Macaca mulatta: one gene and its partners. The protein of the gene in region 4 purifies or fractionates together with the protein of the main gene of each other region. This does not show direct contact. Links are inferred from orthologs where the notes say so. Each region holds a gene or a part of one and is shown on either strand. Other genes may lie near its edges.

Evidence for each region.
Region 1: the proteins of STK25 (region 4) and SIKE1 purify together in Homo sapiens (affinity purification with mass spectrometry; 4 studies listed by BioGRID and IntAct, with this or other methods). This does not show direct contact. The link is inferred for Macaca mulatta from reciprocal best matches to the Homo sapiens genes STK25 and SIKE1.
Region 2: the proteins of STK25 (region 4) and FGFR1OP2 purify together in Homo sapiens (affinity purification with mass spectrometry; 5 studies listed by BioGRID and IntAct, with this or other methods). This does not show direct contact. The link is inferred for Macaca mulatta from reciprocal best matches to the Homo sapiens genes STK25 and FGFR1OP2.
Region 3: the proteins of STK25 (region 4) and CTTNBP2NL purify together in Homo sapiens (affinity purification with mass spectrometry; 6 studies listed by BioGRID and IntAct, counting the BioPlex papers as one, with this or other methods). This does not show direct contact. The link is inferred for Macaca mulatta from reciprocal best matches to the Homo sapiens genes STK25 and CTTNBP2NL.
Region 5: the proteins of STK25 (region 4) and CTTNBP2 purify together in Homo sapiens (affinity purification with mass spectrometry; 3 studies listed by BioGRID and IntAct, with this or other methods). This does not show direct contact. The link is inferred for Macaca mulatta from reciprocal best matches to the Homo sapiens genes STK25 and CTTNBP2.
Region 6: the proteins of STK25 (region 4) and SLMAP purify together in Homo sapiens (affinity purification with mass spectrometry; 5 studies listed by BioGRID and IntAct, with this or other methods). This does not show direct contact. The link is inferred for Macaca mulatta from reciprocal best matches to the Homo sapiens genes STK25 and SLMAP.
Region 7: the proteins of STK25 (region 4) and PROSER2 purify together in Homo sapiens (affinity purification with mass spectrometry; 3 studies listed by BioGRID and IntAct, counting the BioPlex papers as one, with this or other methods). This does not show direct contact. The link is inferred for Macaca mulatta from reciprocal best matches to the Homo sapiens genes STK25 and PROSER2.

The regions. Positions count from the first base shown.
Region 1 is NC_133406.1:125,473,114-125,477,549, forward strand, and holds the start of SIKE1 (suppressor of IKBKE 1), read left to right. Parts: upstream 1-1,297; 5' UTR 1,298-1,358; coding exon 1,359-1,517; coding exon of another isoform or gene 1,518-1,529; intron 1,530-1,750; coding exon 1,751-1,856; intron 1,857-2,680; coding exon 2,681-2,823; intron 2,824-4,436.
Region 2 is NC_133416.1:29,318,228-29,322,211, reverse strand, and holds part of FGFR1OP2 (FGFR1 oncogene partner 2), read right to left. Parts: intron 2,815-3,984; coding exon 2,697-2,814; intron 1,429-2,696; coding exon 1,286-1,428; intron 1-1,285. UniProt on the Homo sapiens protein: May be involved in wound healing pathway.
Region 3 is NC_133406.1:127,871,236-127,875,980, forward strand, and holds the start of CTTNBP2NL (CTTNBP2 N-terminal-like protein), read right to left. Parts: upstream 3,211-4,745; 5' UTR 3,166-3,210; exon of another isoform or gene 2,853-3,165; intron 1-2,852. UniProt on the Homo sapiens protein: Regulates lamellipodial actin dynamics in a CTTN-dependent manner. Associates with core striatin-interacting phosphatase and kinase (STRIPAK) complex to form CTTNBP2NL-STRIPAK complexes.
Region 4 is NC_133417.1:146,793,534-146,797,517, reverse strand, and holds part of STK25 (serine/threonine-protein kinase 25), read left to right. Parts: intron 1-1,406; exon of another isoform or gene 1,407-2,361; coding exon 2,362-2,592; intron 2,593-3,272; coding exon 3,273-3,329; intron 3,330-3,773; coding exon 3,774-3,882; intron 3,883-3,984. UniProt on the Homo sapiens protein: Oxidant stress-activated serine/threonine kinase that may play a role in the response to environmental stress.
Region 5 is NC_133408.1:157,262,744-157,266,727, forward strand, and holds part of CTTNBP2 (cortactin-binding protein 2), read right to left. Parts: intron 3,187-3,984; coding exon 3,008-3,186; intron 1,567-3,007; coding exon of another isoform or gene 1,536-1,566; exon of another isoform or gene 1,506-1,535; intron 253-1,505; coding exon 47-252; intron 1-46. UniProt on the Homo sapiens protein: Regulates the dendritic spine distribution of CTTN/cortactin in hippocampal neurons, and thus controls dendritic spinogenesis and dendritic spine maintenance.
Region 6 is NC_133407.1:121,295,739-121,300,461, forward strand, and holds the start of SLMAP (sarcolemmal membrane-associated protein), read left to right. Parts: upstream 1-1,770; 5' UTR 1,771-1,977; coding exon 1,978-2,175; intron 2,176-4,723. UniProt on the Homo sapiens protein: Associates with the striatin-interacting phosphatase and kinase (STRIPAK) core complex, forming the extended (SIKE1:SLMAP)STRIPAK complex.
Region 7 is NC_133414.1:13,358,610-13,363,023, reverse strand, and holds the start of PROSER2 (proline and serine-rich protein 2), read right to left. Parts: upstream 2,926-4,414; 5' UTR 2,711-2,925; intron 1-2,710.

The DNA of each region.
Region 1 (4,436 bases), on a different chromosome or scaffold from region 4:
ATGGGACAAAATTAAAGTTTGGACACTGATACTGTCTCTGGGATACGTTGACAAAAAAAAAAAAAAAAAAAAGCGGAATGCTGTTTTGAAGGCATGAGTGTAGCCATTCCCCATCTGCGAGCGTTTGATTAGTAAAACTGCTTTCCTTTCATCATCAGTCACTTCTCATGATTTTGGCCTCTAGGCAACAAACAGCCAGACGTGAGCCAGTTGTAATAGCAGCATTATTTACAATAGCAAAAGGCGGAAGCAACCCAACTGTCCAGCGGATGAATGGATAAACAAAACGTGGCATATACATATTATTCAGCCTTAAAAAGGAAGAACATTCTAACATATGCTACTGTGTGGATGAAACTCGTGGACATTACGCTAAGTGAAACAAGGCAGTTATATGAATATAAATGCTGTATGATTTCACTCACGTCAGGTACCCAGAATAGTCAGATTTGTAGAGACAAAGTAGAATGGTGGTTGCCAGGGGCTGGGGATAAGGAAGAATGAGGAGTTATTGTTTAAAGAGTGCAGAACTTCAGTACTGCAAGACGAAGGAGTTCTAGAAATGGATGCTGATGGTGGCTGTATAACCATATGAATATACTACTGAACTGTACACTTAAAAATGGCTGAGATATTAAATTTTATGTGCATTTTGCCACAATTTTTTAAAACTTAAATGAAAGTAGGCCAGGCGCAGTGGTTCACACCAACACTTTGGGAGGCCGAGGCAGGCAGATCACTTGAGGTCAGGAGTTCAAAACCAGCCTGGCCAACATGTGAAACCCCGTTTCTACTAAAAATAGAAAAATTAGCCGGCATGGTGGTGCATGCCTGTAATCCCAGCTACTCGGGAGGCTGAGGCAGGAGAATCGCTTGAACCCGGGAGCCATAGGTTGCAGTGAGCCAAGATCGCGCCACTGCACTGCAGTCTGGGCGACAAGAGCAAGATACCAAGATACCGTCTCAAAAACGAAAAAAAATAAATAAAAATTAAATGAAAATAAAAAGAAAATAACTGTGACTGAATAACAATCCACATCAATGAAAACCAGTGGGGAAAGGAGACCTTCCTTCTGCCCAGCTCATCATGGCCTGACCACCAGGCTGTGGCAACTGGAAACCAAGAGCGTGGTAAGGGCAGGTCTGGGGCTCCGCGTCAGGCAGGACTGCAAGGAAGCCACAGGTAAAAGCGGGTGAACCCGCAAAATAGGGTGCCACTGCGCAGGCGCCTCTTGCGTCTGCCAAGACACCTTTTAAACGTGCCCGGAAGTGACGCCAGTAATGCTGAGACAGACTCCCAGAAGATCTGAGCGAGTCGCGTAGCTGAGCCCGGCAGGGGCTGGGGTTGTGCTGCTGCTATGAGCTGCACCATCGAGAAGATCCTGACAGACGCCAAGACGCTTCTGGAGAGGCTGCGGGAGCACGATGCGGCTGCCGAGTCGCTGGTGGATCAGTCGGCAGCGCTGCACCGGCGGGTAGCCGCTATGCGGGAGGCGGGGACAGCGCTTCCGGACCAGGTCAGGCAGAGGGTAGGAGTCCAGTGCTCTCGGATTCTGGGCACTGAAGGGTGGAGAGCGAGGTAAAGTGGGAACTCGGCCTGAAATTTATTCCCGGTCTCAGAGGGCGGCGGTGAGACCTTTTTCCTGGGTCGGAGCTGAGAATCCTGCCCTAGAGCCCTGACTTCTGCCACTTGAGTTGCATCTGCCGCTGTTCTCTTTAAGGCATGCTTAGACTGTCTCTATTTGTCCAGTATCAAGAGGATGCATCCGATATGAAGGACATGTCCAAATACAAACCTCACATTCTGCTGTCTCAAGAGAACACACAGATTAGAGACTTGCAACAGGAAAACAGAGGTTAGTCAGGCCTTTTCATATCTGGTAATAGTTTAAAGTTACTGCAAAATTGCCCTAAACATTCACAAGGGTGTGCATCTATTTCCAGGTCAGTACTTTTCGTAGGAGAGTCCTCCTGTGCTGGCTCAGTAACAGTAAAGTTTGTTAGATTACCCATTTCAAGGTCATCTGACTGATTTTGTAGCAGCTTACCAAAGAGGGGCTATGTAGAGTTAGAATTATTGCATGGTTTATTTTTAAGCATCTCCAGATGTGTAACAAAAGAGTTCATATCCTCATGGACTTAAAATTTAATGTTTAAATATTAATATAAACACTGAAGGTAAGATTTAAGGTTTTGTTTATGTTCTTGTTTGTGCAAGGTGAAGCAGCAGAATTTTACTCTAAGGGTATATATTCTTAGGCTTGATTAGTACATTATTAATGACTGTAGTATTAATAGTTGTTTACCAGAGGGGTTTCACATATATCATTCTACTGTATTCTCATATCTTCATTTTTATCTATCACAATGCTGTTAAGAAATAGGCTCAGAGAAGCTAAATGATTTACTTATGAGTATTAACCAAGCAAGTTACAGAACTGAACTCAAATCCATGTCTTCTGATGACATATCCGTTGTTGTTACTGCAAGATTTTGCTTCTCTGCCTAGAAAGTTACCTTTAACATAGACTTTAACTGCTCAGTTTTGTAGACTGAAACATTGATTTACAACCTTGGATTCATATTATCTCTATAGTATTGCAAAATTCTAACTGTTAAGACTTTGGATTTGGGAACTGTCTCTCAGACATCACTGCCAAGTTATTTTATTTTTTGACAGAGCTGTGGATTTCCTTGGAGGAACACCAGGATGCTTTGGAGCTCATCATGAGCAAGTACCGGAAACAGATGTTACAGTTAATGGTTGCTAAAAAAGCTGTGGATGCCGAACCAGTCCTGAAAGCTCACCAGTCTCACTCTGCAGTAAGAAACTTCGAATAAATTTGAAATGAACCAAATTGAAATCTTGAGATTGTTTTAGATTGTGTGCTTGTTTTTTTGCTTTTTGAGACAGGGTCTGGCTCTGTCGACCAGGCTGTGGTGTAATGGCACGATCTCAGCTCACTGCAACCTCTGCCTTCTGGGGTCAAGCCATCCTCTCACCTCTGCCTCCTGAGCAGCTGGGACTACAGGTGCACACCACCATGCCCTGTTAATTTTTGTGGGGTTTTTTATTATTATTATTATTATTTTTTTTTTTTTTTGTAGAGATGAGGTTTCGCCATGTTGCCCAGGCTGGTCTGAAACTCCTGGGCTCAAGCGATCAACCCACGTTAGCCTTCCAAAGTGCTGGGATTATAGGCATGAGCCACTGTGACTGGCCATGTGTGCTTGTTTTTGAAGAAAAGTAAGCTTGTTTTCCTTTCATGTTTATCATATTTGTTGTTTATTTTGCCATGGCTTTGTAAAGATATGAATAGAAAGAAGGATAGTGGTTGCTCAGGTCCTTTTATTTGAATGGGACTAACGTTCCCCCTCCCTCACCAAGATCTCTTTTGAAAATGTTCATTAATTCTTAGCCCTCACACCAAACGTAATGTCAGTTAGTGTTGAAGGTGCCCAGTAAATACTTGGTTGGTTATTATACATTTCACTTAAGCTCCTTGGTTGTGAGGCACTTGAATTCACATTTTATTCCTAACATAGTACCTGACATATAGCAAGCAGTCAATAAACCTTTTATAAACTGAACCACATAGCATCATACTATGTTATTAGGGGATAGAAGTATGGTTTTTAAAAAAAACAAACATGGCATAGTTTCTATGCTTTGATTGCTTATTATCTAATTTGGGAGACTCGGTAATTGTTCTTATGTTTGTAGGTGCTTCATGGTTGTCATTGTACATTCGTGTGTACTGTGTCATTTAATTCTAGATGTATAAGTTGGAGCCTACTACTTCTGTGAGATGTAGTGAAATATAAGCTTCATCTTAAATTACATTGAATGCATTTTACTGACTTAAAAGTTTTAGGAAACAGATATTTTAAATATTTGAATGGCTTTCAACTGGAAGAGAAAAATAGATTTTATTTATTCTCATATGGAGGAAAAAACCTGAACTTTGAAAGAGACAGTTTACTCAGATAGATAAACTTTCTAAGTGATATGTCCAAAGATAGAATAAGGCACCTTGGAATGTAGTAAGCTTCCTGCCAGTGAAAGTATTCAAATTTAAGTTAAACAGCCACTTAGAGGTAGTATCCAACATCCAATGGGTAGTTAAACTACAACTGATTTTTTTTTCCGTTTCAAATATTTTTATTGGAGGGTGGACCTATTGGGTGATTGATGCACTGGACATAGATAATTTTCAGAAATGAAAATAACATTGCTTGCATCAGATCAGATTTCACCCACAGAAATGACTAAGGCCTTATCAGAGTTGGCATTGGATGAAAACTTAATCCTTTATGGAAAGGGAATCATCTGGCCTTCTATTTCTGAAATAGACTAAAGATTACTCATTTATTCTCTGCAATTACAGCCATCAGATCCTTTGAAATCTTGGAAGGTGTGAGAAGATAACATGACT
Region 2 (3,984 bases), on a different chromosome or scaffold from region 4:
AAATGGAAGAAGTAGTTTAAAGAATCTAAAATGTGTTTCAATAATAGAGAAATATAAAAAGACGTCCTTTCCTATTTCTGCTGTAACAAATGGGGAAAAGAAGGCTCATAATCACTATTTCTTAAATAATATTGATAATAATAGTCAGATCATCATTATCTAATACAGATAACAGCTTAAGTTTCCATAATCTAGTTTAATATTTTTATTTCATATCAGCAACTAAAACTCAGTTTAAAATAAATATAAGTGAGAAAGGATTATTCTACTTGTCTTCATAGCAGTTGCCATAAAATATGGAGCCATACCAAAGGGAATAAACACAGGGATGACAAAGGGATGAAAAGCAGGTAAAACACTAATTTCTAACTACTTCAGCTTTGTTTCTAAAAAATGATGTCAATTGGTATATAATACTGGGGCAAGGGAGCAAAATTTTAATATGTTGGTTCTTCTCCTCAACCCCATGTTTTTTCCATTATAATAAACAAGATGATTTATAGTCTGGATGAATTAGCCTTATTCAGAAAATAGTCCTAAGAAAAACAAATCTACATTAAACTGCTTTCAGGTTTTACAAAAAAGTTTTCAGTATTTTTTGTTTATGCAAGAGAAGTCAATACACAAATTTATTAACAAAAAAAATTATTAAAAAATTATGTTTTTTAAGAGACAGGGTCTCACTCGGTTGTCTAGATGGGAGTTGGCATGACCATAGCTCACTGTAACCTCAAACTCCTGAGCTGAAGCGGTCTATCCACCTCAGCCTCCTGAGAAGCTAGGACTGCAGGCATGTGCTACCACACCCAGCTAGTATTTTTACTTTTTGAAGAGATGGAGTCGCACTATGTTGCCCAGGCTGGTCTTGAACTTCTGGCCTCAAGCGATCCTCCTACCTTGGCCTCCCAAAGTGCTGGGATTATAGGCGCGAGCCACCATGCCCAGCCTTTTAAGAAATATTTCTTAAAAGCACATAGCCCTACAAAAATAATGTTGAATAGAACAGACTTACCTTTATATCCAAAATAAAACTTATTTTTCAATGTACAAATTAAAGTTTCTAAGAAACAGTGAGAGTTATAAATCAAACAGAAAATGATACATAACAAGCAAGAAATGGAAAAATAAGAAAAAGGAGAAAATGGCAATTAAAAAGATGAAACATTCAACATCATGTTAAAATGCCATTACTAGATACCTGTGATTTTTTACAAAAAAAATCTGAACACAGGATAATCAATCGTCTCTCTTTTCCATTTCAGGTCACATTTATAGAATGGATTACCTTGGAGTGCTGCTCTTTTAACTTCATTATTATACCCGGATCATCTTTTTTGCTAGCCATTAGCAATCTGAACATTTGTTCTCGATACTTGCTCATTATAAGTTCCAAGGCCGACTGATGTTCTTCCAGAGATGTACGCAATTCTATCAAGAATAATATTGTACTTTATTCCAACTTGAGTTAAAAGTACATAAAATTTTCCACTAAGCAACTTATGAATAGGACATTTTAAAAAGAAAACACAATGCACAAAAATCTAGCCATATAACAATAAGAGACACCAAATGAAGTCCCTTATTAGATTTCTGAATGAGCATTTTAACCTTATTTTTTGAGAATCATTTCAACAAAGATGTACTTAAACAGCAATTAAATACCAGCCCAGGCTCTCTCTATATTAATACCAAAGGGCCACAGACCTCAAGAGTCTAGCAGAGAAAACAAGCATGTGGTTGGTGCAGAGTGGAGTGTCAGTCAAATAGATTTAAGAGATATCTGTGGGAAAAAATTGGTGGAAGCTTTGTAAAAGTACAGTGTGAGTTCCCTCAGTTGAAAAGTGAAGGAAAGGACCTTCTAAGCAGGGAGGCATGAAAACAGATGATGTGTTTAGGAAGTGATTTGTGTTGGCAAGAGCAAAGGGTTCACGGTGAAGAAAGCTGTGGGAATAAGATTTAAAAAAAAAAAAAAGGCTGGGAATTGATTTTTAGGGTCCCTGTAAAAGGTAATACATATACAATGAAAGTTCTTAGGCAAAAGAATTACATGATCAGGGCTGGGCACAGTGGCTCACGCCTGTAATCCCAGCACTTTGAGAGGTTGAGGCGGGCAGATAACAAGGTCAGGAGATTGAGACCATCCTGGCTAACACGGTGAAACCCCATCTCTACTAAAAATACAAAAAATTAGCCGGGCGTGGTGGCAGGCGCCTGTTGTACCAGCTACTTGGGAGGCTGAGGCAGGAGAATGGCATGACCCCAGGAGGCGGAGCTTGCAGTGAGCTGAGCTGGCACCACGGCACTCTAGCCTGGGTGAAAGAGCAAGACTCCGTCTCAAAAAAAAAAAAAGAATTACACGATCAGATTGATTTTTGAAATATCAATCTGATGGTCATATTGAAGACAGCTTGGACAGGAAGGGGGAAGAGAGACCGGAATCAGGGAGATAAGTTTGGACATTTCAGGCAAGAGACTGAGCATCTAATCTGGGGGCTAATGCAGTGGGACTGCAGAGAATGAAGCTGAGTTATTTCATAGCTAACAACAGCAGTGCTAACTGGATTATTGAGGATGAGAATCTAAGAGGATGTCAAGCAAGGCAGACGTTCAAATGTGGGACAGGATAAAGAGCAATAAATATGATTCAGGAATACAGACTAGAAACGGGATTAATGTCAAAAAGTAACGTATCTTGCCTTTGTTTTCTTGTTGCAATTCTCTGATTTGTCTGTTTTCTTGCTGGATTCCCATAACTAACGTGGACCGTGGCCGATGTCTTGCGACTTCATTAAGTTCTTGAATTTCTTCCTGATACTAATGGGGAAAAAACATGCAGGATGAAAATATCTGCAAATATATATATCTGATATATAAATACAAATATATCTGAAATATACATATAAACAAATATCTGATAAGAGCTTAGTATCCAGAATGTATAAAGAACTCTTACAACTCAACAATAAAATGAAAATAACCCCATTTTTAAAAGTGGCAAAGGATTTGAATAAACATTTATCTAAAGAAGATATACAAATGGCCAATAAGCACATGACAAGATGTTTAATTAAAATAACTAGTCATTAGGAGAATGCAATTCAATATATCCCACTAGGATGATTATAATGAAAAAGACAATAACAATTGTTGGAGAGGATGTGAAGAAATTGCAACCTTCCATACATTGTTGATGGAATGTAAAATGATGTAGCTCAGAGGTGTCCAATCTTTTGGCTTCCCTGGGCACACTGGAAGAAGAATTGTCAGGCCGCACATAAAATACACTAACACTAACGATAGCTGATGACCTTTTTTTTTAAAAAAAAAATCTCATAATGTTTTAAGAAAGTTTGCAAATTTGTATTGGGCTGCATTCAAAGCCATCCTGGACCATATGCAGCCAGCAAGTCACAAGTCGGACAAGCTTGGTGTAGTTGCTTTGGGAAACAACGTGCCAGATCCTCAAAAAATTTAACAGAGTTATTACGTGACCCATCCATTCTACTTCTACATATATACCCAAGAAAACTGAAAACATATGTCTACACAGAAACGTGTACACAAATATTCATAGTAGCATATATTCTTACCAGCCAAAAAAGTAAAATAATCCAAATGCCTATCAAATGACGAATGGATAAGCACAATGTGCTGTATCCTTACAATGCAATATTATTTGGTAATAAACAGGAATGAAGTACGGATAACATGCTACAACATAGATGAACCTTAAAAACATTATGTTAAGAAGCCAATCACAAAAAGCTGCATATTTTATCATTTCATTCATATAAAATGTCCAGAATAGGCAAATCCATACAGACAGAAATATTAGTGGTTGCCAGAGACTGAGGAAAGGGGAAACTAGAGAGAGACCACTGATGGATGTAAGGTTTTGTGGTGATGAAAATGTTCTGGAATCAGATAGTGGTTATACTGTATAACCTGCAAATGTGTACTAAAATCCAATGAACTATACCCTTC
Region 3 (4,745 bases), on a different chromosome or scaffold from region 4:
AAACACAAAATCAACTAAAAATCCATTTTAAAAGTCCCAAAGTAGATCAGTAACTTGTTAAAACCAGACACTCAGGAACTATTCTCTTTTTTTTTGAGACAGAGTCTCACTTTGTTTCCCAGGCTGGAGTGCAGTGATGCAATCTTAGCTCACTGCAAACTCTGTCTCCCGGGTTCAAGCAATTCTCCTGCCTCAGCCTCCCGAGTAGCTAGGATTGCAGGTACATGTCACCACACCCAGCTAATTTTTTACATTTTTGGTAGAGATGTGGTTTCATCATGTTGGCCAGGCTGGTCTCGAACTCCTGACCTCGTGATCCACCCGCCTCGGCTTCCCAAAGTGCTGGGATTACAGGTGTGAGCCACGGAGCCTGGCCTCAGAAACTATTCTTGAGCAAAAATCAGTAAACAATCAGTCCCTAGTGAGCTCTTCTAAATTCACTTCATTCCTATCGGGTCAGATATTTAAAACAATAAAATCCTGAAATGATTAGCACTCATTATGTTCTTAAGTCTGGTGCAAATTTCATGACAGTAAAAATAGTATTTTCTAACCAGTAGATTTTATATATATATATATATATATATATATATATATATATATATATATATATTTTTTTTTTTTTTTTAACTGTTTTTTTTTTTTAAGAGACAGGGTCTCTTTCTGCTGCCCAGGCTGGAGAGTGCAGTGGCATGATCATAGCTCACTGTAACCTCAAACACCCGGGCTCAAGCAATCCTCCTGCCTCAGCCTCCCAAGTAGCTAGGATTACAGGGATGAGCCACCACATCCTGCCTCACAGATATTTCTTTATAAGAAATTCAAAATTTTAGTCACTTAAGACACTGGAATTTCATAAGACAGCAGATGGGGAAAATCAAGTTAAATGAAGACAACAAGTAGACGGTTTATACTAACAAGTTGTGCCACATCTAATCAGTGCATTGCCTTTCAGTCTACCCTAAGGTGACAGCTTCAAACTAAGTTAAACAAACACTCATTAAGTCATACTATATACCAGGAACTGTGAAAGAGACAAAGACGAAAAACAAAAAATACTACTATCTGCCCTCAAAGAATTTATAATTCAAGGAGAGAGATCAGACATATATCCCCTGCATAGTACGCTTTTCTTCATCTGGCATGACCAAACAGGTGTTGAAAAGGTTAAAGGAAAGATTTTCAAGACCCAAAAGTGTAACAAACAGATCTTGCTTACTGTGCTAAATAATAAAAGAACATTATTTGCTTTTTCCTATTAAAGCTCAGCAATCACCACAACTTTGGTTTGCTTAGTCTCTTACCTTAGTTTATTTTCTGTTCTCTGCTGATGTAATACAACTTATCTTTTTGGGATTTTCTGTTCTACTTTTAGCTTTTTCTGCTGTTATTGCAGGGAGCCCATGTTTTACCCTTCTATTGCAGCACACATTGTGTTTGCTAGAGACACCCTCCAGTTTCTTCTTTGTGCTTTCTTATTGGAGATTTGGAAACGCTCACTAAGAAGATCTGTGAGCACTCTGAAACCTTCAATTCTAACTATTCAAAAATAATTACCCTCAGGAAGTCTAATCAAGAAGGTAAAAGACAACAGTCATTACAATCACCCTCTGTGATTCCAACTCCTTGAACTTCATTGCCATCAGCTTTGGCTATAGTTGACAGCGGGGAGGTGGACTTGAGATTGAAAGCAAAAAAAAAACTATGCTAAAAATATGGTAAATTTTAATATATAAAAGTGCTAGCGATAGATGATTACTGGGGATTCAACGACATTAACTTGAGGTCAAAATCAACACTTTGCACCTGCTGAAATGAAGGCCACTTGACAAAACCTTTAGGAGCACACTAGAGGCACTTTTTGGTAAACATGAATAGCTAGAACACCTTGCCTTTATTTACTTTGATCTCTGAGATTAAAAAATTACTTTTCATCGTCTAAATTTTGATAGATGATCGTAAAACCAATCAAAATATACATGAATGTTTCCTGGGGGCGGGGGAGACACTATAAAAAAGGGGTTAGAGAGTAACCAAAGGACACAGGACTAGATTAATCATAAGCCTAGATGACTGACCCTGAATTTTCTTCAAACACTTCCTGCCTTTTGTTTCAAACTGCAGTATACCTTCAAGGTTAACTGCAGTCTCCCTGAGCAATGGACCAGCCCATCCTAGACTGGGATATACTCATTCCTAATCCACTGCTATTTATTTACTTATGTATACTGTTTCATTTGAAAACATGGTGTTATTCATTGACTGTCAAGCAACATACACTGCATTCCTGCCCACACAAAGCCAACTCTGCAGATATCCAACACACCCACCTCACTGTGAAATATAACATGGCTTTTCATCAAGTTCTCAGAGAAGAAATAGGGTGGAAAAGGAAAAATGAAACGCAATTCAAACCTAAGAAACCCTTAGAGGCTGGGTTCTCCCAGAAGGAACAGAAAGTAGAAGAAAGGTACAAAGGGCGAGGGAGAGGAGGTCCTAGTTCTCCCTCTTTCAGAGTCCAAAGAAGTCCCAAAACAGGAGAGCTCTCGACTCCTCACAAGAGGCCAGAGGATGTGAGGGGCGGCGGGAGGAAGACTGAGCATCAGAGAATGGGGGATGGGAAGAACTTAAGTGGGAGAAGCCGTTTCCTCGGTAAAGCTGGCTGTCTAGGTCGGTCTTTGATTTTTGCTTCGCCCCATCCCTCTTTTTTGGGAAACACTAATTTTATCTTACGGAGGAAAGCAGCTCCAGTCCCACCCTGGAGAGCAGAGACAGGTGTAGGGAGGGATGTCTGGCCTTCCGGGGGTGCAAAACGGGGTTGGGGGCGGCAGCCTAGAGAATCGGTACGGTACCTGTGAGTCCTCTCCTCCAAGGCTGAGGTGCGGGGTGGGAAGAGCCTTTGAATGAGGGGTATCAGAGGGAAGCCCCTTCTGAGGAGCTGGGAATCGACGAGGGACAAAAAGTAGCTGTGAGGACCCTCAAAGGATGAGGAGCCGCCTCCTCGGGGAATACCGGGAGGTGGAGGAGATGGCCCCGCCCCCTCAGGGGATGGGCCCAGAGGCCGTTAGGACAGCGGCGGGAAGCTACCGGTGCCCCTATACTTGCTTTGCTCTTGAGAACCCGGCCTCTCAGCCATCATCAAGCCCCAGGGAGTGTGGTTCCTACCTTTCCACGACGCACCGGGCTCCGCTCCCCTCCGCCTCTACTCCCCATCCACAGCGGCAGAGGCCCCGCCCCCTCAGCCGCCCGGCGGGGGCATTGGCATTCACCAGCGCCAATCGCCTCCTTGCTTCTCCAGCATTGTCCCCAATCCGCGCCGGCTGGAGGCGGAGCTTCTCCAATGTCATTCAGGCTCCTCCCGGGGCCCCAAGATCCCTTTTGTTTGGGAAGAGCAAGGCTGGGATTGAGCTCGCGTCACTTCCGGGAGGAAGCGCCGTCCTCGGTCCCGGGCTTCAGGATGGGCTCGTGCCCCTCCCGGCCCTTGGTCTGCAACTTTCCACCTCTGCGTGGTTTCTGGGCAGGACCGTGGCTAGTGCTTAGTGCTTTTCCCTGACTGTACGGGGAGTTTAGGAAAGGAGGGCTCTGGTGGCCTGATCGATTGGGATTTTTTCCAGAATGTTAATAAATGAAGTGGGCTTTGATGTCTGCATTAGAATGAATTAGTTGTTGAAAACCTGGCTTCCTTGCTCCCCCCTTTTTTTCTTTTTTCTGGACGCGACTGTGGGCGTGGTGCTGCAAGCAAGGGTGCAAAGATGAAACACCTGGAGATCACCCTTCTCTCAACCACAGTTTGTACAGAAGAGAATACTAATTTTGGGGGACATAAATCCAGCCGACCTGCTTTCCAGGCAGAAGTCGAATAATTGCAAATTTGTGTGGCAGGTTTTTCCACACTATGCTTGCCAGCTGAGGCGACTTTTTTCTGTCCTTGGCCTCATTATATTGCGGGGAATGGTGTTTGCCGTGAAGTTAAACAATGGAGAGTACAGAGGATGCAAGGAATGTCTGCCTTGTGAACACAGGAATGCAGATCTTGGTGGCAGCAAGTCTTAGGCAGGACCGAGTAACTCAGAAAGGGGAGTGGATGTATAACTAGTTGTATCCCTACCTGAAGTCAAAGTTTCTGAATTCCATTTCCACAGAATGGCTGTCAGCTCACAGATTGATTCAGCTGGTTACATTTACGATAACCACATTATTTTAAATACAATATAGTAAATATTTGAGACGAATATTTATAATGCACAAATAATGTAGTACACTTAATACATTATCCCTAAACTTAGCAATTATAATTCGCAAGACAGCATTAGGGACCTAGTACTTGCCTAGGCAAACAGTCCTCAAGGCAGATGCCGCCTGCCCCATGCAGTTTACAGTCTGACCGAGGGATGTGATCAGTCTGTGCGATTATAGTCTGAAAGAAGTAAACGAGTATTTATCATGTTATCACTGTGCCATGTACTTTCATTTAAATGGTATTTGATGTCATCTTCAGTACTGTATGAGAAATCTGTCCTACAGTGTAGGATAGACACCATTGTGTCCAATTTACAGATGAGAAGATAGAGATTCAGAGAAGTCAAATAAAGTCATAGAGCTAGTAAATAGTAAATAATTTCCAGTAAGGATGTATGACTCCAAACTTATGCCATATTCTGCTCACTTCACACTGGCTCTCACATGGTGGACTAAAAATGGGTGTGGATGATTGTAAAGCAAACATTAGAGCCAGAAGGAAAGCT
Region 4 (3,984 bases):
TCCTTCCCCAGAGTTCCTGTCACCTCAGGGTCTGGGGCTCAGAAAGGGATGTGTAGCAGCATGTTTCAAGGTGAGGGCCTGTGTGCCGCCCCTTCCACCCTCCTGGTTGCAAACCCTGGGAGGTCAGCTAATTGGCAGTTTCACAAGGAAATGTCGCCTTGGGCTGGTGCAATGTCCAGTTGGCTTCAACCAACTCCTCTGCTGGGCTTAGGCCTGGGATAGACCCTGCACACGTGTCCAGGGGGTGAGCGTGGGGGCTGTATGTGGTGTACCCCATCCTTGGAGGGCACAGTCTCCCCAGGCCCAGGAACGTGGAGGGCACCCCCATCCAAGGACCCGTCCTGTCTTCAGCACCAGAATGAGTTGGGCCTCAGTGTTTTGGGGGCATAATTAGTCGTTTTGCCTTTTTTTTTTTTGAGACGGAGTCTTGCTCTGTCACCCAGGCTGGAGTATAGTGGCACGATCTTCACCTCCCGGGTTCACGCCATTCTCCTGCCTCAGCCTCCCAAGTAGCTGGGACTACGGGCGCCCGCCACCACACCTGGCTAATTTTTTGTATTTTTTTAGTAGAGATGGGGTTTCACCGTGTTAGCCAGGGTGGTCTTGATCTGCTGACCTTGTGATCCGCCCGCCTCGGCCTCCCAGAGTGCTGGGATTACAGGCGTGAGCCACTGCGTCCAGCCCGTTTTGCCTTTTTATGCTGTGCCACACTAAATTGGCATCAAGACCCTTGATGTTGTGGGGGGAGGGGCCGTGCATGGTGGCTCACACCTATAATCCCAGCACTTTGGGAGGCTGAGGTGGGCAGATCACCTGAAGTCAGGAGTTCAAGACCAGCCTGGCCAAGATGGTGAAACCTTATCTCTACTAAAAATACAAAAAATTAGCTGGGGGTGGTGGTGCATGCCTGTAATTCCAGCTACTTGGGAGGCTGAGGCAGAAGAATTGCTTGAACTCAGGAGGCAGAGGTTGCAGTGAGCTGAGATGGTGCCACTGCACTCCAGCCTGGGTGACAGATTGAGACACCATCTCAAATAAGTAAAAAAAAGTATGGAGGCCTGAGGACACACCTCTCCTGGCTTCCCCTGGACTCTGGGCCTGGGTCACAGACCAGGCACCTTCCACACCGGTGGCTCAGAAACTTTCAGGCGTTGCTGCTTTAAATCTGAGGACTGTGGGAGGCAGCTTTCTGCATCAAGAAAGCATCAGTTTCTGACCCGGCGCTGGTGTACTTGTCAGGAGGACTTATGGAGGGGTGAGGGAAGCCCTTTCTAAATATGTGGCTTTTAGGAGTGAAGGAGAGCTTGGTTAACACATACCGAGAGTTTTTTGTTTTTGATGAGTTTTTGTTTTTTTTTTTAATTTAAAAATTTTTTTTGAGACAGAGTTTCACTCTTGTTGCCCAGGCTGGAGTGCGATGGCCTGATCTCGGCTCACCACAACCTCCACCTCCTTGGTTCAAGCGCTTCTCCTGTCTTGGACTCCCAAGTAGCTCGGATCACAGGCATGCGCAACCACACCCGGCTAATTTTTTTGTATTTAGTAGAGATGGGGTTTTACCATATTGGTCAGGCTGGTCGTGAACTCCCGACCTCAGGTGATCCATCCGCCTTGGCCTCCCAGAGTGCTGGGATCTCAGGTGTGCACCACCAAGCCTGGCCTGTTGAGTTTATTTTTTAATAGTTTCAGATTTATAGCAAATTAAGAGCTCCCAATCCCCTAACCCCCAGGGGCTATTAACCTATTAACATCTCTCATGGGGCTGCATGGTAGGTTAGATGAGGCAACCTTCATGCCTTGTCATCACCTAAGGTTCCTGTTTCCAGTGGCCTCTTTATACTTTCCGGGGACTTTTCCCTTGCATGGAGAGTTGAGTTTAGGTTTAGGCTTTTTTTTTTTTGGAAACGGAGTTTGATTCTTCTTGCCCAGGTTGGAGTGCAATGGTGCGGTCTTGGCTCCACTGCAACCTCTGCCTCCTGGGTTCAAGCAATTCTCCTGCCTCGGCCTCCCAAGTAGCTGGGATTACAGGCATGAGCCACCACGCCCAACTAATTTTTTCATATTTTTATTAGAGATGGGGTTTCACCATGTTGGCCAGGCTAGTCTCGAACTCCTGACCTCAAGTGATCCACCTGCCTCGGCCTCCCAAAGTGTTGGGATTACAGGCGTGAGCCACTGCACCCAGCCAAGTTTAGGTTTTAAACAAAAAGGGGTAAAGGAAGAAACCAGAGAAGAATTGAGGCGCACTCGCTCGGACTCCCCCTTCCCTACAGGTCCCTTCCTCCCCAGCAGGGCAGCCTCTGCCTGTCCCAGCCTCTCGTGACCGGCACTGTCTGCCCTCTGTCCCCACCGGCCCCTCAGCACTCTCGAGTGGACCCTGAAGAGCTCTTCACCAAGCTTGACCGCATCGGCAAGGGCTCGTTTGGGGAGGTCTACAAGGGCATCGATAACCACACCAAGGAGGTGGTGGCCATCAAGATCATCGACCTGGAGGAGGCCGAGGATGAGATTGAGGACATCCAGCAGGAGATCACCGTCCTCAGCCAGTGCGACAGCCCCTACATCACCCGCTACTTTGGCTCCTACCTAAAGGTGCCTGTTGGGGGGAGGCGGCGGCGGCCCTGCTGGTGCTGTGCCCGGCCCTCTCTTCCATGTCAGAGGGACTGAGTGACATGCCAGAGGGTGCAAGGCGGCCTTGACAGTTCAGTGCATGCCCTCCAGGAAATTGCCCTGGGCAGGCAGGGTGCGAGCAGGGTCCACGAGGGTCATTCGGCTCTGAGTGGCCATTGGGACCCACTTGCCTGCCTGTGGTAATGCAGTGAGGGCGCTGCCAGGAGCACTCTGGGGCGCCCCTGCTGGCAGTGGTGAGGGCCTGTGAGGAGCAGGTTTCTGGTGGTGCCAGGGTCTGGGGTGTAGGGAACGCTGTGGCCATCCTGCCCAGGAAGATGATGGGTGTGTTGGGCCATGTGCTTGCCAGCCATGCCCTCTTCCCAGCCCTGTAGGACTGGCTCAGCAGCTTGGCTTTTGACGGGGTCTTGGTGAAGTAGACTCAGCCACTGTTCTGTGTACTCAGTCCGTCCTCTGAGCATCTGTAGCAGCAGTGTGGCAGGCGGGGAGATGGGCAAGGTCGAGGGAGCCCCTTCCTGTTTAGGGTTCTTGGCAGGGATGGGACCGGTGGGGCCTGGGCCCTGGCTGACTCCGGCCTGACTCCCACCCTGGAGCATGCCCTTCCTCTCACTGCCAAATGCTGATGGGTTTGTCTCCGGTCCCAGAGCACCAAGCTATGGATCATCATGGAGTACCTGGGCGGCGGCTCGGCACTGGACTTGGTGAGGCATAGGCCATGGCAGTGGGGGGTCATGCAGTGTCCGAGTCCCCTGCTCCTCAGACTCATGGGCTCCAGGGGCCACCTCTCGTTTGGTGTCATGGCACATTAGGTGTTAATTACGAATCGTCTAAAGCAAAAATGAACTGCCATCCGCACGTCTGCCCAGTTGGTGCTGAAAGGGGTCCTGGCCTGTGGGAGTGGGCGGGGGCAGGCACGCTGGGAGATGGTTGGGAGCCTGTTTTTCTGTTACATGACAGTAAAGTGAAGCTGGTTTATATGCTTTAGACCACCCCACTCCCGTCTGAAAGTTGTGTTTGAGAAGTAAAGGAACATGAAGCCCCCAGCTATCTGCAGGGACAGCCCTCCCCTGTCAGAGAGACAGGAGAACTCAGGCATTGGGCCTGGGACAGGAGCTGAGGCCCTGCTGTCCCACCTTCCTCTCCAGCTTAAACCAGGTCCCCTGGAGGAGACGTACATTGCCACGATCCTGCGGGAAATTCTGAAGGGCCTGGATTATCTGCACTCCGAACGCAAGATCCACCGAGACATCAAAGGTCCTGCTGGGGGTGAATGTGGCTCTTGTAATGTCCTGAGCCCCACTGACCTTAGAGAGGCTGGGGCCTGTGAGGGGCAAGTGGCTAGTGGTGCCCAGCGTC
Region 5 (3,984 bases), on a different chromosome or scaffold from region 4:
TTATAAGGGTGTGAATTTCCTCTCCTCTCTGCAGAAACCCACATACCTGCTCTGGGGAGGGGACAGCCATGCAGTACAGCTTTATTTAGCAAGATGCTGAGAGCAGCTTTGACCACAGCCTGCTGTCCTTGGCTAGGGTGTCTTTTAGCAGTTGTCTGTCCAAAGCCAGGTTGTCTTTTCACAGAGGCTCTTGACAATATTGCTTCTTGAACTCTGGGCGCGATGACGCCGTTCCACAGCTTAGACATCCACCTAGCAGGAGAGGGGCCGATTCATCCCTTAGGAGCAGGCTTCTCAATAATTACACACAATTCTACGAAAGGACAGTTTGAAGACTATGGGGAAAAAACGTTAAGTGTTTCTATAGATATGCTACCTTTCCCAGGTAGTTTTCAAATAAGTGAAATTACCCAATACAAAAGTAGTTTGAATCTTTCTCAAAAATACAATGTATTTCAAATGAAACTGGTTGTTTACATGTCTCTCTCAATGTAGAATCAATGCTTGAGTGCTGAGTGAATGAATACATGAATAAATACATGGAAAGGAAGGTAAATATAAAGACTGAAGAAATCTGGAAAAGATTTCCTAAAAGTCCATGTCTAAATAGCTTCAACTTCTTTGTTATATCTCCTTAATAAAGTACACGTATATTGTATTTTAATATTTCTGAAATTGGGATCTTTTTTTTTTTTGAGACAGTCTCGCTCTGTCACCCAGACTGGAGTGCTGAGGCACAATCTCAGCTCACTGCAACCTCTGCCTCTTGGGTTCAAGCAATTCCCATGCCTCTGCCTTCCAAGTAGCTGGGATTACCCGCAAGTGCCACCATGCCTGGCTAAGTTTTGTACTTTTAGTAGATATGGGGTTTCACCATGTTGGCTAGACTGGTCTCAAACTCCTGACCTCAAGTGATCTTCCTGCCTTGGCCTTCCAAAGTGCTGGGATTGCAGGTGTGAACCACTGCGCCCAGCCTGACATTTATTGTATAATCACTGGTAAATTAAATCTGCCTGTCCCAAGGCAAGGGCTCACTGTTGCGTGTGGGTGGGCTCAGTTCTATCGGGAGAATGGGGGTCAACCAGCTATCGCCTCACGTGGACTGTCTGCATTAATAGCCATAAACAGTGGGACTTCAGCCCAAATTTGCAGCACTCAAAATTAAAACTAGATTATGCTTCGTTACAGTATTTAAAAAACACTTATATGATTAAAGGCTATAGAAACAAAACCACATCTCCCGGGTCAGGAATGTTTCCAAAGCTATTAGACATTGCATGAATCTTTCAAGAATTGTCAAAAACTACGATCCATCAAGTTTCTCTCTTAATGTCTAGTGCTATGCAATCGGGGAAAAATAAAAGTGCGATAGGGAACACAGACAAAATTCTGGTATTTTACAGCATGAATCAAAATTATGCAGTTATTCCTAAAAGTGCTATAGCATAAATATGATAAGCTGTGGTTTGAAAAAAAAAAATCAACTCCTTAGCCATTGGTAGACAATTATCTGCGGCATTTCTGCACATCTGGTGTTAGTTTTTGTTCGGAACTATCTTTTCAGTCCTGGAAGACAGAGATAAAGGTCTCCTTCAGGAGCAGAGGGCAGAATTGTTTCCTGACCAGGATAATAAAAATAACATCTTCCAGGGCTAAGGGTCGACAGAGTTGCAGCATCCTTCTTTAGAAGCCTTGGAGGGATGGGAAGTAGGGAGTTCCACAGCTGTGAGGCAAATCCAGCATCCACATGGGCTTCTATGTATCACCCCATGGGACTTCAGGGGTAACGGGAACCTATGTAAAAGTGAAGCTCAGGCTGCCTGCTGTGTTGTGGATGATGAAGTCCTGCGCCCTCACTCAGATCCTCAACCATGGCAGGCTAATATGGTAGCTTGCAACTAGGGTAAAAATCTTGGAACCTCCACAGTTCTTGACAAAGACTATACTCCATATAGGAGAGGTCAAAATTGGTTCCTAAGAATCTTGAGACTCTGGATGTAAAAAAGACTAATTTCATTGACATAATAATGAAGAAAGTGGTAATTATATCAATAAGTGTATTTATTTTGTAGCAAAAATCTAAATATACATTTAATATAGTACTTCTTTCCCACCAATTAGCTGTTATAAAAATGGCGGTTTGTCTTACAACAGAGAAAATATACATGTACTTTTTAGAGGCAGGGTCTTGCTCTGTCACCCAGGCTGGAGTTCGGGGGCTTAATCAAAGCTCACTGCAGTCTTGACCTCCTGGGCTCAATTGATCCTCCTACCTCAGCCTCCCAACTCAAGTAGCTAGGACTGCAGGTGCATGCCACTATGCCTGGCTAATTATTTTTCAAGTGATCCTCCCCTCTCAACTTCCCAAAGCAATGGGATTACAGGCATGAACCACTACACCCAGCTGAGAAGATATTATTTCAATCTCCTGCTTTCCAAGACAGGCTTCTGCCTATGACACCAGAAACTACAGAATCAAATCTGCTTGCTGGTCACAGAACCATGACTAAACTGGATGGTAACAGATTTTTTCTCCTTTCAATTTTCTCCTGATTTTCTGTTTCATTAACCTTATTGTATATATGTCTGTTCTCATAAGCTGCTTCAAAGGAAAACGCAGTAAGTACTGAACATAGGTCTCAATAAAGGGAGAAGCTTTTCAATTCATTAACAGAATGCAGGTTTTTTGGAGGGTGTGCATACAATACTTGATGAAACTTCTTATGTGGGACCTCACTTAGGAGACTCTGCATAGCAAGCCAAGCATAATTTGGATGAGAGTTTTCTAATAGAGGAAAAACCTAGCTCTCGGCAAAAATGCAGCTGCCCTAGGGGAAGCACCCAGTAGACAAGCTGTGGCCATCCTCTGGAAGAGCAGAGAGCACTGGCACTCTGTATCAGTGACAGGAGGTGGCGCAAGGCAGCCTGGTCAGCATCCTCACCCTCAAACATCTGAATTGGCCATGTCTCCATTATAAGCAGAAAACTAACGAAAAATGGCACTTACTTCACTGTCACTTGGGCATGTCCAGGAACTACAGGACAAGACAGGAAATATTCTGGTCCAAGAAGTGCTTCAGGTGTGCCCAAGCGGGCCAGGCAGGAGTTAAGCTGACGCCAGACGGACAGAGCCCAGTCGACAATCTTGCACACAGGATCGCAGGGTGAGGGCGCCTGACCTTTGAACTAGAGAGACAGGGAGGTAGAACCCAGGGGCTTGGTTTAGAACATTTTGTTTTTAAAAGCCCAAAATTAAAAATATGAAGCTTTAAATCAAAACTGAAAACGAGTTGAATTTTATGTAACTTTACTTGGGATGGCTGAATGAGGGATAATAACACACTATAGTTGTGCAAACATGTTAGTGTGATAAGCATTTTTCTCCTTTAATTCTCACCATGAGCTTGAGTTAGGCATTTTTACCCCATTTTACATATCAGGAGCCTAAGGCAGGAAGAAAAAATAACTTGCCCAAGGTCCTACAGGTAATAGTGACAAAGCCAGAGCTAGAGTCTATTTATATTTTTTATTAAGGTATAATTGACAAAATTATATATATATATAGTGTATATTATGATGTCTTGATGTATGTATACATTGTGAAATTATTCAATTAAGCTGATTAACATGTCCATTTCTTCACATACTTATTTTTTATGGTGAGAGCATTTAAGATCTACTCTCAGCAATCTGCCAGTATACGTTAACTACATAGGGTTTATCTTTAATAGAAAAATAGGATACGGCATCTCGCTGAAATAATAAAGGAGTCATTTATCACGTTTAAAATAAATTCAGTAATCACTATTAAGCTAAAGAACTTCCTCTTCTTCCTCAGGCTTAACATTTCTGAAGCTCTCTGTTCAAGCTTCACTTTCTATGGTCAGCCAGGGCTGAAAGAACAGGCTAGCTTTGTGGGCAGCTGACAGAGGGAGAGGGGCCCCCCCAGCTGCCTCATCAAGACCGCATGTAGAGGAAGGCAGG
Region 6 (4,723 bases), on a different chromosome or scaffold from region 4:
TAAACTTTCTGAACGCTCCTTCTGTCGAAAAATCCGCGCGGGAGTCCTGGGGCACATTAATAGGTTCAGTGAGGACTGTCATTCGAAACGGAATGCGGGAACTAAGATTTTTTTGTTTTTCCGGGAAGAAAACACAACGAGTTTAGCAGAGGGGAGGATGGTCCTTCTGTTAGGTGCACAAATCCTAAGACTTGAGGGAATTTGACTGCTCACACTTAAGACAGCTGCGGGTGACTGTGTTGCCCACAGCTAAGATGGCTGCTGATGACCATCCCCTTTGGCTGGGTCTATTCTTTTGCTCGCTAGTATTTTCATTGAGAATTAAAGAGAATAAAATTTAGTAAAAGTTGGCACCTCCTTGCTAAGTAGATAAAATAAGAAAGTGGTACTGTTTGTTTAGAAAACCTTCTACCGCGCAAATTGTTCTTTCCCTTAACCAAAATGGTCGTTAAGGTTGTCCCGAGGTTTGAAGCTTCCAGCCCTTAACTAAGATGGCGCCTGGAGGCCTGTTAAAAATTAGCTTGCCCTTTTTTCTGCCCTCTACCAACACGGCTTCCGTGGCTTCGTTCACGTGACATTCCTGGACTACGGCGCGGGAGAGGGGGTAGGAGGGCCCTTGAAGGGTGCGCGTTCCCGTGGCGGTGCACCGGGTAGGTTTCAGTCAGAGTCACTATGGCGGCCGGCGCTGGCAAGGTAAGCTGAGGCGGCGGTGGCGGCTAAGGAGGTAGCACCCGTCGTGGCGTCCTGGCTCCAAATCTTCGCAGCCTCCTTGCGGAGAGGTCGGCGGAGGTAGTGCCTAGCGGTGGGGGCTGGCGGGGGTCTGGCTGGAGGAGCCGAGGGCTGAGGCTGGCGGGCTGAGGCGCCTGACGGCCGTTTGTTTTGATATTTTCCCCACCAGGTCGGAAAGTTTCCTGCCTCGTCGGGCGCAGCTTGAGCTTGCCCCATCGGCCGCGATCGGTGGAGGCTGCGGCGGACCCAGCCCGGGGCCTCCAGGCCTCTCCCCAACCTCCGGGCCAGTCTCCCTCCCCCACCTTCTCGTCCGCCGGGAGCTGCGGCTGCCGTCCCTGAGATGCGACCCTCGCGGGGGCGACCCTGAGGGGAGGCGGCCCATGTGCTGAGCGGCGGACAGGAGCCCAGGCGTCCGGGGACCAACTTCCTGCCGCCTGGGAACCCGCGCCTCCCGGTGTCGCGCCTCGCTCGGTCAGCACCGGCCTGCGGAGCCGGGTCCCCGCCCTGGTCGCGGGGACGCTCACCAGGTGCCCGGGAGTCCCGACTCGGCTACTGCCCGCGCCCTGCCGGCCTCCACGCCTCGCGCGGAGGACCTCAGCCACCGCCGCCTCGGATCGTGCCAGGCCGGGGACCGCGTCCCCCTTCCCGGGGCGGCCTCCGCGCAGCAGGGGCGATGCAGACTGTCCCGCCGGCCGTCTAGAGCCTCTACACTGCGGGCAAGGACGGGCGGTGACTGCCCAGAGGTGCCCGGCCACACCTTCCTTCGGCCCAAAAGGACTTTCCTGGCCGCGCCGAACCGACCCTTCCTTCATGCTGCAGTGCTGCAACGTTTCCGCCACCGAGGGGGAAAAGCGGCCGCGATCTCAAACCAAACACAAGAATTGGCGTGTGACTCATCTGCTTGGATACCTCCAGTCCCCAAACTGTGTTCCAGGAGTTTTCTTGGCGGAAGCTGCCCGATGTTTGAGCCTTTTCTTCCCAGAGAAGAAGATGGACTGAAAGCTGCCAGTTGGGGACTTTTTGTGATCAGGGCGCTGCTGGGTTTTAGAGGAGGTGATGGGGCTTGCGCTGGCTTGTCTTCCCACCCAAGTGAAGAGTTGATGTTCACTGGTTATGCTTAGACAATGTGCAGTTTGTGTTAATTTAAAATTTTGGGTGGGATAGGGGGATAGGCTTGTGAAGGGCAGTCCGGATCCAGAGGAACTCCTCTTTGTTCCTGGTAGGAGAGACACCCCCAGTCTATCCTCGATGCCGTCAGCCTTGGCCATCTTCACTTGCCGCCCGAACTCGCACCCGTTTCAGGAGCGTCATGTCTACCTGGACGAGCCCATCAAAATCGGCCGCTCAGTGGCCCGCTGTCGACCAGCGCAGAATAATGCCACTTTTGATTGCAAAGTGCTGTCAAGGAACCACGCTCTCGTCTGGTTTGATCACAAGACGGGCAAGGTAATGTCACCACGTTGTCCAGCGGCATTGTTTAACAAACTTGTTTCCCCCGCTTTGCCCTTTCTGAGAGGCCTAATGTATGCAGGATCCCAGGGTTTGCATCCAGAAGAGGCTTTGCGCAAAGCCACGAAACAACTGTTTGGGTGCCTGGTTCTAGTGGAAATTTGATTGAGGTGGTTGAATGGAAAACAGAGAAGGTATTGTAATTAAAAGCCTCAGGAAGTCTATGGCATCTTGATAACGGGGTCATTCCCAGTGAAATACCAAACTAGATAGTGAAACTTGGCGTCTTGCTTTCAGTCTGCTTGGAAAGGTGAATTCACAGTTCAGCGCTTTATTAAGCAAGCAGGAGTTGTCAGAGCAATTCGGGGAATCTGTGGCCATTATTATCCCAGGGCTCAAGTGTCTTAGTAGTGAAATGTAGTTAACACATAGCTTTAGGTGAGTTCAGATCAGGACCTTTCTAGTAAGGACAATTGCTGGTATAAACCTAAGATTTTTGAAAGGTTTGATACATACTTGCTCTTGAAGGAATAATTTGCAATAATCAAAGCTAATTTAATTAAGCATGAACAATTGTAACTTTATATATTTTCAGAGTGTTTTTTACAAGTTGGAGAACATACACATACTGCGTTTGAAAATCACTTTTTGATGTTCCCTGCAGCACTTATTAAGTACTTAGTGCATTCTTACAGAGGTGCTATTCAAAAGTTAGTGTTAGGAAATAAACTTATTTTCTGAAATTATACCCTATTCTGTCAATTATAGCATTACTTAAATGTGATGGGATGAATTCAGTGCTTTTCATTTTAAGCGTAATCAATTTAGTATTTTTATGTTAGTATCGTAAGTTACTATACACGTATGTGCTTTTAAGAAATGAAAGAAATTAAGATCCTTTCCATTTTTAAAAACTGTTTATTTATGTTTATGGATAGTATACTAAAGAGCTCATCTTTGTGCCTAAACCTCAGGTTTTTAGCTGAGCTACTGAATCAGTTCCAACTTTAAGTTATGTAAGACTAATAGGACTGTCTCAGGTTTCACCTCCTGACTTTTTGCCCCTTCTTTCTGAGTTAAATAATTAAATCTTTCTTAAAGGAAGAACTTAAGTCTTCAAGAATATGTTTTGAAATGAAAGAAACCTGAGCCTTAAAAGGAAGAGAAAAAAATGATACTTCGGCAGCTACTGATTTAAGGAATTATTTTGTAAATTATTTTTTGAAGAAAGGAGGAAAAGATTGTCCAAGTGCTGTGTGCTGCATAATATCTATACTTTATTCTACGTGTAGGAGTGTAGGATGAGAACTGAAGAATATGTTAACTTTTCTGTATAACACCAGATCGTCATTTACCTGTGGAGCAGACCCTTCCTCCCTACCCCCAAGCTGAACGTAGGGTGCCTAATTTTTTTTGAGACAGATTTTTGCTCTTGTCACCCAGGCTGGAGTGCAGTGGTGCTATCTCAGCTCACTGCAACCTCTGCCTCCCAGGTTCAAGTGATTCTCCTGCCTCAGCCTCCCAAGTAACTGGGATTACAGGTACATGCCACCACGCCCGGCTACTTTTGTATTTTTAATAGAGACAGGGTTTCACCGTGTTGGCCAGGCGGTCTCGAACTCCTGACCTCAGTTGATTCGCCTGCCTCAGCCTCCCAAAGTGCTGGGATTACAGGCGTGAGCCACCGCACCTGGCCCTCATAATTCTTTAAAATGAATATTCATAGAGCTCATTTTTCCAGCAGTTCAATTTAAATATCAGTTTACTACTAAGTAGTGCCTTAACTCAACCAGCTTTTACATTTTTGCCATTTTATGTTCTTGGGCAACAGGTCTAAACTAATTAGACAACAGGTTTGCTCACGGTACATACTCTGCAAACGCACTTTGATTAAACACTCAAAGGGAACTCTCATTTTTTGTTTTACTTATTTGAAAAATACTGATTTCATGCACAGTGCTTTCCATGGCCGTAATAAAACTCTCACAATAGGTTATTTTGAGATAACTAAGAATAGATCAATAGTGACTGTTTCATGAATTGAGATGACATGTTAATATTTGTTCTTTTTTTTTTTTTGAGATGAAGTCCTACTCTGTTACTCAGGCTAGAGTGCAGTGGCGCAACCTCAGTTCACTGCAACCTCTGCCTCCTGGGTTCAAGCAATTCTCGTGTCTTAGCCTCCTGGGTAGCTGGAATTACAGGCACGTACCATCATGCCCGGCTAATTTTTGTATTCTTAGTAGATACTGGGTTTCACCACGTTGGCCAGGGTGGTCTTGAATGCCTGACCTCAAGTGATCCACCCTCCTCGGCCTCCCAAAGTGCGGCCAACGTGCCTGGCCATGAAATTTGTTCTTCAGAAAAACTTATCTTTGAAGGGTAGATATGGCTTATTTCTACCATTTTCACTTTTTTCCCTCTTCTGCTTTATTAGCTAAAATAACACGCAGGCTATGAGACCACTACTTTAGATATAGATGTAATTATTGATTATTATACCACTTAATCTAGTTACAGCAGATACTCTGTCAGATCTTACCAT
Region 7 (4,414 bases), on a different chromosome or scaffold from region 4:
ACCTTGAAAACATTGTGCTAAGTCAAAGACACCAGACACAAGAGGCCACAGATTCTAAGATTCCACGTGTATAAACATCCAGAAGGGGCAAGTCTACCAAGACAGAAGGAGATCAGTGGTTGCCAGGGGTTGGGAGAGGGGAACGGGAATCGTCTGCTTAATGGGTTTCCTTTTGGAGTGATGAAAAAGTTCTGGAACTCGACAGTGGTGATGATTGCCTAACATTGGGAATGGAATGTACTTAATGCCACTGATTTGTGCCCTTTAAAGTGGTAAATTTTATGTTCTATGTATTTGACTATAATAAAAAAGATAAACAGCATCAAGTCTTCACGGTGCTAGAGTCTCTGGCAGTACCCAGTCTGAAGACACGTTCACGAAGAGCTCTCCCATCCCTGTCCGGCAAGGCAGAATGCTCTCCCCATATGATCCTTTCCTGCCCATCCTGAATGCACAGATTACAAACCCAGCACCAACTTTCTTAAAATACTCTTAGTTTTCAAGATGAATGCTGCCAGTCTAGAAAGGGGACAAGGGCATTATGGACAGGGGCAGCTTCCCTGTGGGTTCCGCAGACAGAGGCTGTTGTTGCCACTGGCTGGACATAACCCGTGCAGAGGGCAGCGCCTCCGTGAACACAGGCTTTCCTATGGTGGCCAGGAGACCCCTCAGAGTGGAGCGGGGATGGCTGCAGTCTATCAGGGGCAGAGTTACCAGGCCCTCTTCTCAGAGCACACAGGCAGCTAGGAAGCCACCAAGTGCAAAGAAAGGTGACACGCGGCGATGGCCTTCACCGTCAAAGGAAAGAGCTCGGGTTCTGGGATGCTCCTAGGATTCCCCTGGCACCTCCCGAATGGCCTCTGTGCCACTGGCAGCTGTCCCACAACACTGCAGATAAGATGCACTTGAACTTCTAGTTCTAGAGGCTCCCCTGTTCTCAGCTCTGCTCTACCCAGGCCCTTCCTCTCTCCCCCTTCAGGTTTCCAGGCTCCACTCCTGGAGTTATCTGAGATGATCTTCCAAATCAACACACAGTGCCAACTCTGGGCGCCTCGGGTGTCTGAGAACTTTGGAACCAAGGCCAGGTATCTCTTCAGCTGCTGATGAAGGCTTGCTTCATCTGGTTTTAATCAGTTTGGGCCATGTGGCTGTTATCTAGAAAAGACTGTATGCTGGATGTCCAGTCACGGCTCTGCGCGCTGTAGGTGGTCAGTCTACAAATATTCCTGAATGAATTAACGAGCAAATCCCACCCCCCCGCGACCCCTCCGTAACCAGAGATTCAAACACGCTCAAACTTTCCTAAAAGCATCGCTCCTCTTCCCAGCTTTCGCTCCACTATCACTCTAATTTTGGATTTCTGATTTCTAGTAATGGAGAAAATACGTTACTTTTAAATCGTCAGCATCTAAAATTTTCAAAGAAAGCTCATCTGAAGTGCTGTTACCAAGGGATATAATCCAATCGCATTAAAATGGCTATTACTAGTCTGGACAAGAAAACACACAAGATTCCATACATACGCTGTCAACTTTGGCAAGAAAGATTTTAGACAACTTCCATCCTTCCCACCCAATCCCAAGTCAATAGGGCATTTGTTTGTATTTCCACATTGGCTTCACGAACGAAAATACCTCCTCCACCTAGAAAAACAACCAGTAAAATTCAGACACAGAACTTGGAGGGCAAACGTTTTAGTGCATGCTGGGACACTTTTATGTAGTGTTTTTAAAAAATAACGTAGAAAAGTATTTTTAATAAAGTTTTCTCCTATGAGCATTTCCCTCAAGTTTCCACGTATGCCTGGTTTGGTCTTTCGATACCTTTCAGAAATACAGATTTTTAAAAAATGATCTCCGTTAAAATTGGAGCCAGAAAGAACCTTCTTCCTACAGATCTGAACGTTTTACTCTGTTTAGGGTGGAAAAAGACACACACAGTCATTTTCCTTCACTCACTTTTAACTTCTCTGCTCTGCACGCACGAGGTTCTGGTAAAGAGTTAAAAGTTTTCTGAGGTTAGTTCCTGCGGTTAAGGGAAAAAAAAAAATACACCAAACAACTAGATGCTTAAATTTAGACTCCGTAAAACAATACTGGGAAACTTTCAAAGCCTTGGAGAAATACTGGAGTTTATTTTATTGCCTTTTGTTCAATTTCATCACACGGGTCACATTTTCTCCTCTATTTTAGTCCCTCCCGCCGGCTGGGTTGGGCAGACCCTGCACATTCCCGCGTGATTCCAGGACCTGGGGGCCCGGGTGGAACAGGTGGCTCCGCCCGCCGTGTCGGACCCGCACCCTCTCCGCGAGGCCGCATGGGGGTCCCACAGCGCAAGGGAGAGCGGTCCCGGGCTGGGGGACAGGCGTCGGGGACAGCGGGGACGCTCTGCGCCCAAGGCTGGGAAACCCGCCTCCACCCCTGCGCCCCCAGGACAGCCCCAGACTCGGAACCCAGCGCGCTCCCCGCCGCGCCCCGACTCAGAGGTCCCCGAGGAGGCAGCGACGCCCCGGGGTCAGGGTTCGGGTACCGGGTGGCCTCTGCGGCAGCGCCGGGCTCCCCCAGTCGGAGCGAGAAGCGCGCAAGGCAGGGTCCGGCGCCCCCTCTCTGCCCGACCCGCCGGCGTCCCAGCCAGACCCCAGTGCCGCCACCGCCGCCAGGACGCCCTCCCGCCGCTCCAGCCGTGCCCGGAGTCCTAGGGCCGCACTCACCTCGCGGGAGAGCCCTACTCCGGGACTCAGGTGTCCACGCCGCCAGCGACCCTGAGCCCTGACGCCGGAGCCCTCACGCCGCCGCCCGTCCGGCGCAGATTGTCCCAGGCCGCCCCGCCGCGCGCTCTCCCCCGTGCGCGCCCACCCGTGCGCGCTCCACCGCCCACCGCGCGCTCGCGCCGCCGGGACTCGCGATCCTCAGGCACGCACTGCGCGCGCCCGCGGCGCTTAAAGGGCCAGGCCCCGCCGCGCTGCAGGACCCCGCGGCCGCCTCCCGGGTGCCCTCGGTCAAGGTGTGAAGTTCGAGTTGGGGGACATCACCGTGAAAATCCCCAACCCCATCGCCGAGCGACCCACGCAGAGAAAAGCAGTGGGGATGTGTGTCTGAAACTTGCAAGAGATGGGACATTAATTTAATCTAATTTTTCTTGAGACAGGGTCTTGCTGTGTTGCCCAGGCTGGAGTGCACGTTGTGTGATCTTGGCTCACTGCAACCTCCACCTCCCAAGCTCAAGTGATCCTCACAGCTCAGCCTCCCAAGTAGCTGGTACCACAGGTGCACGCCACCACACCCAGCTAATTTAAAATTTTTTGGAGAGATGGGTGGGGGGTCTCATTATATTGCCCAGGCTGGTCTCGAACTCCTGGGCTCAAGCGATCCTCTCACTTCAGCCTCCCAAAGTGCTGGGATTACAGGCCTGAGCCACTGCACTTGGCCTTTAATTTTTTCTTTTCTTTTTTATTATCATCAGCTTGGAGAGGCTATTTTATACTTAATAATGCTGATGCAATTTATTGCATACCTGTACCCTCAGACACAGCATTTAATGTGCATACACCAAATACATTATTTCATCTAATCCTTAAAATGTTTTTCTGGTTTCTTAACCCCATTTTACAGAGCAGGAAAGCTGAGGTTCAGACAGCTGAAGAAACTCATGGGAGAATTTTTGACCCCATGGCTCATTGCATTTTCTTCTTCAGGCTATCACCGTGGAAATATCTCCCAAGGTTAATAGCTGGTTGCGGAAGGCTTTTGTAAGTTGGTGGAGGTTAATGTTACTGGGTTTAATTCGGTAGGCAGGGAGAAAGCAAGGATTATGGGGTTGTATTAATTGTAGGGTTTGTTGCATACTCAAATGGCAAATGTTATAACAATCTAGATTCCCAAAATGTTTGTGTTTACTCCCATTTTACAGAAAACTAAGAAGGAAGTGGTTGCACAGAATGACTGAGTCACTGGCCCCACTCAGGGTTGAGCCCCAATGCCTTAGTCCTGAGGTCATTTCTTTGCCCTCCCCAGAAAGAGATACCTGATTAAAGGGAAGAAAACTTTTCCTCTAATAACACATTGGCCTCACCTAACTCCCTGCATCTTTAATTAATGTTTACAAAGCACTTTAATCTACCCAACATGCTACTTAATTGGGTCAGTATTATTATCCTCTCTTTCTGAACAAAATCTAGGAGATAATCAACTCTGACAGTCCTTAATCCTCAGTGAATAATAAACCTAAGCTTTCTGGTTATGTTCTTCTATTTTCCCTCTCACATTTTTGTCTCATGTTGTGTTAAATATGAACGCATTTGTCATGAAGTGACATAATAAATGGTAATATTAAACACCTGCCTATAGATGACAGGTAATATGGCAGCTGCTGTCTTTAAGGAATTTATTTTATTTTATTTTTTGAGACAGGGCCT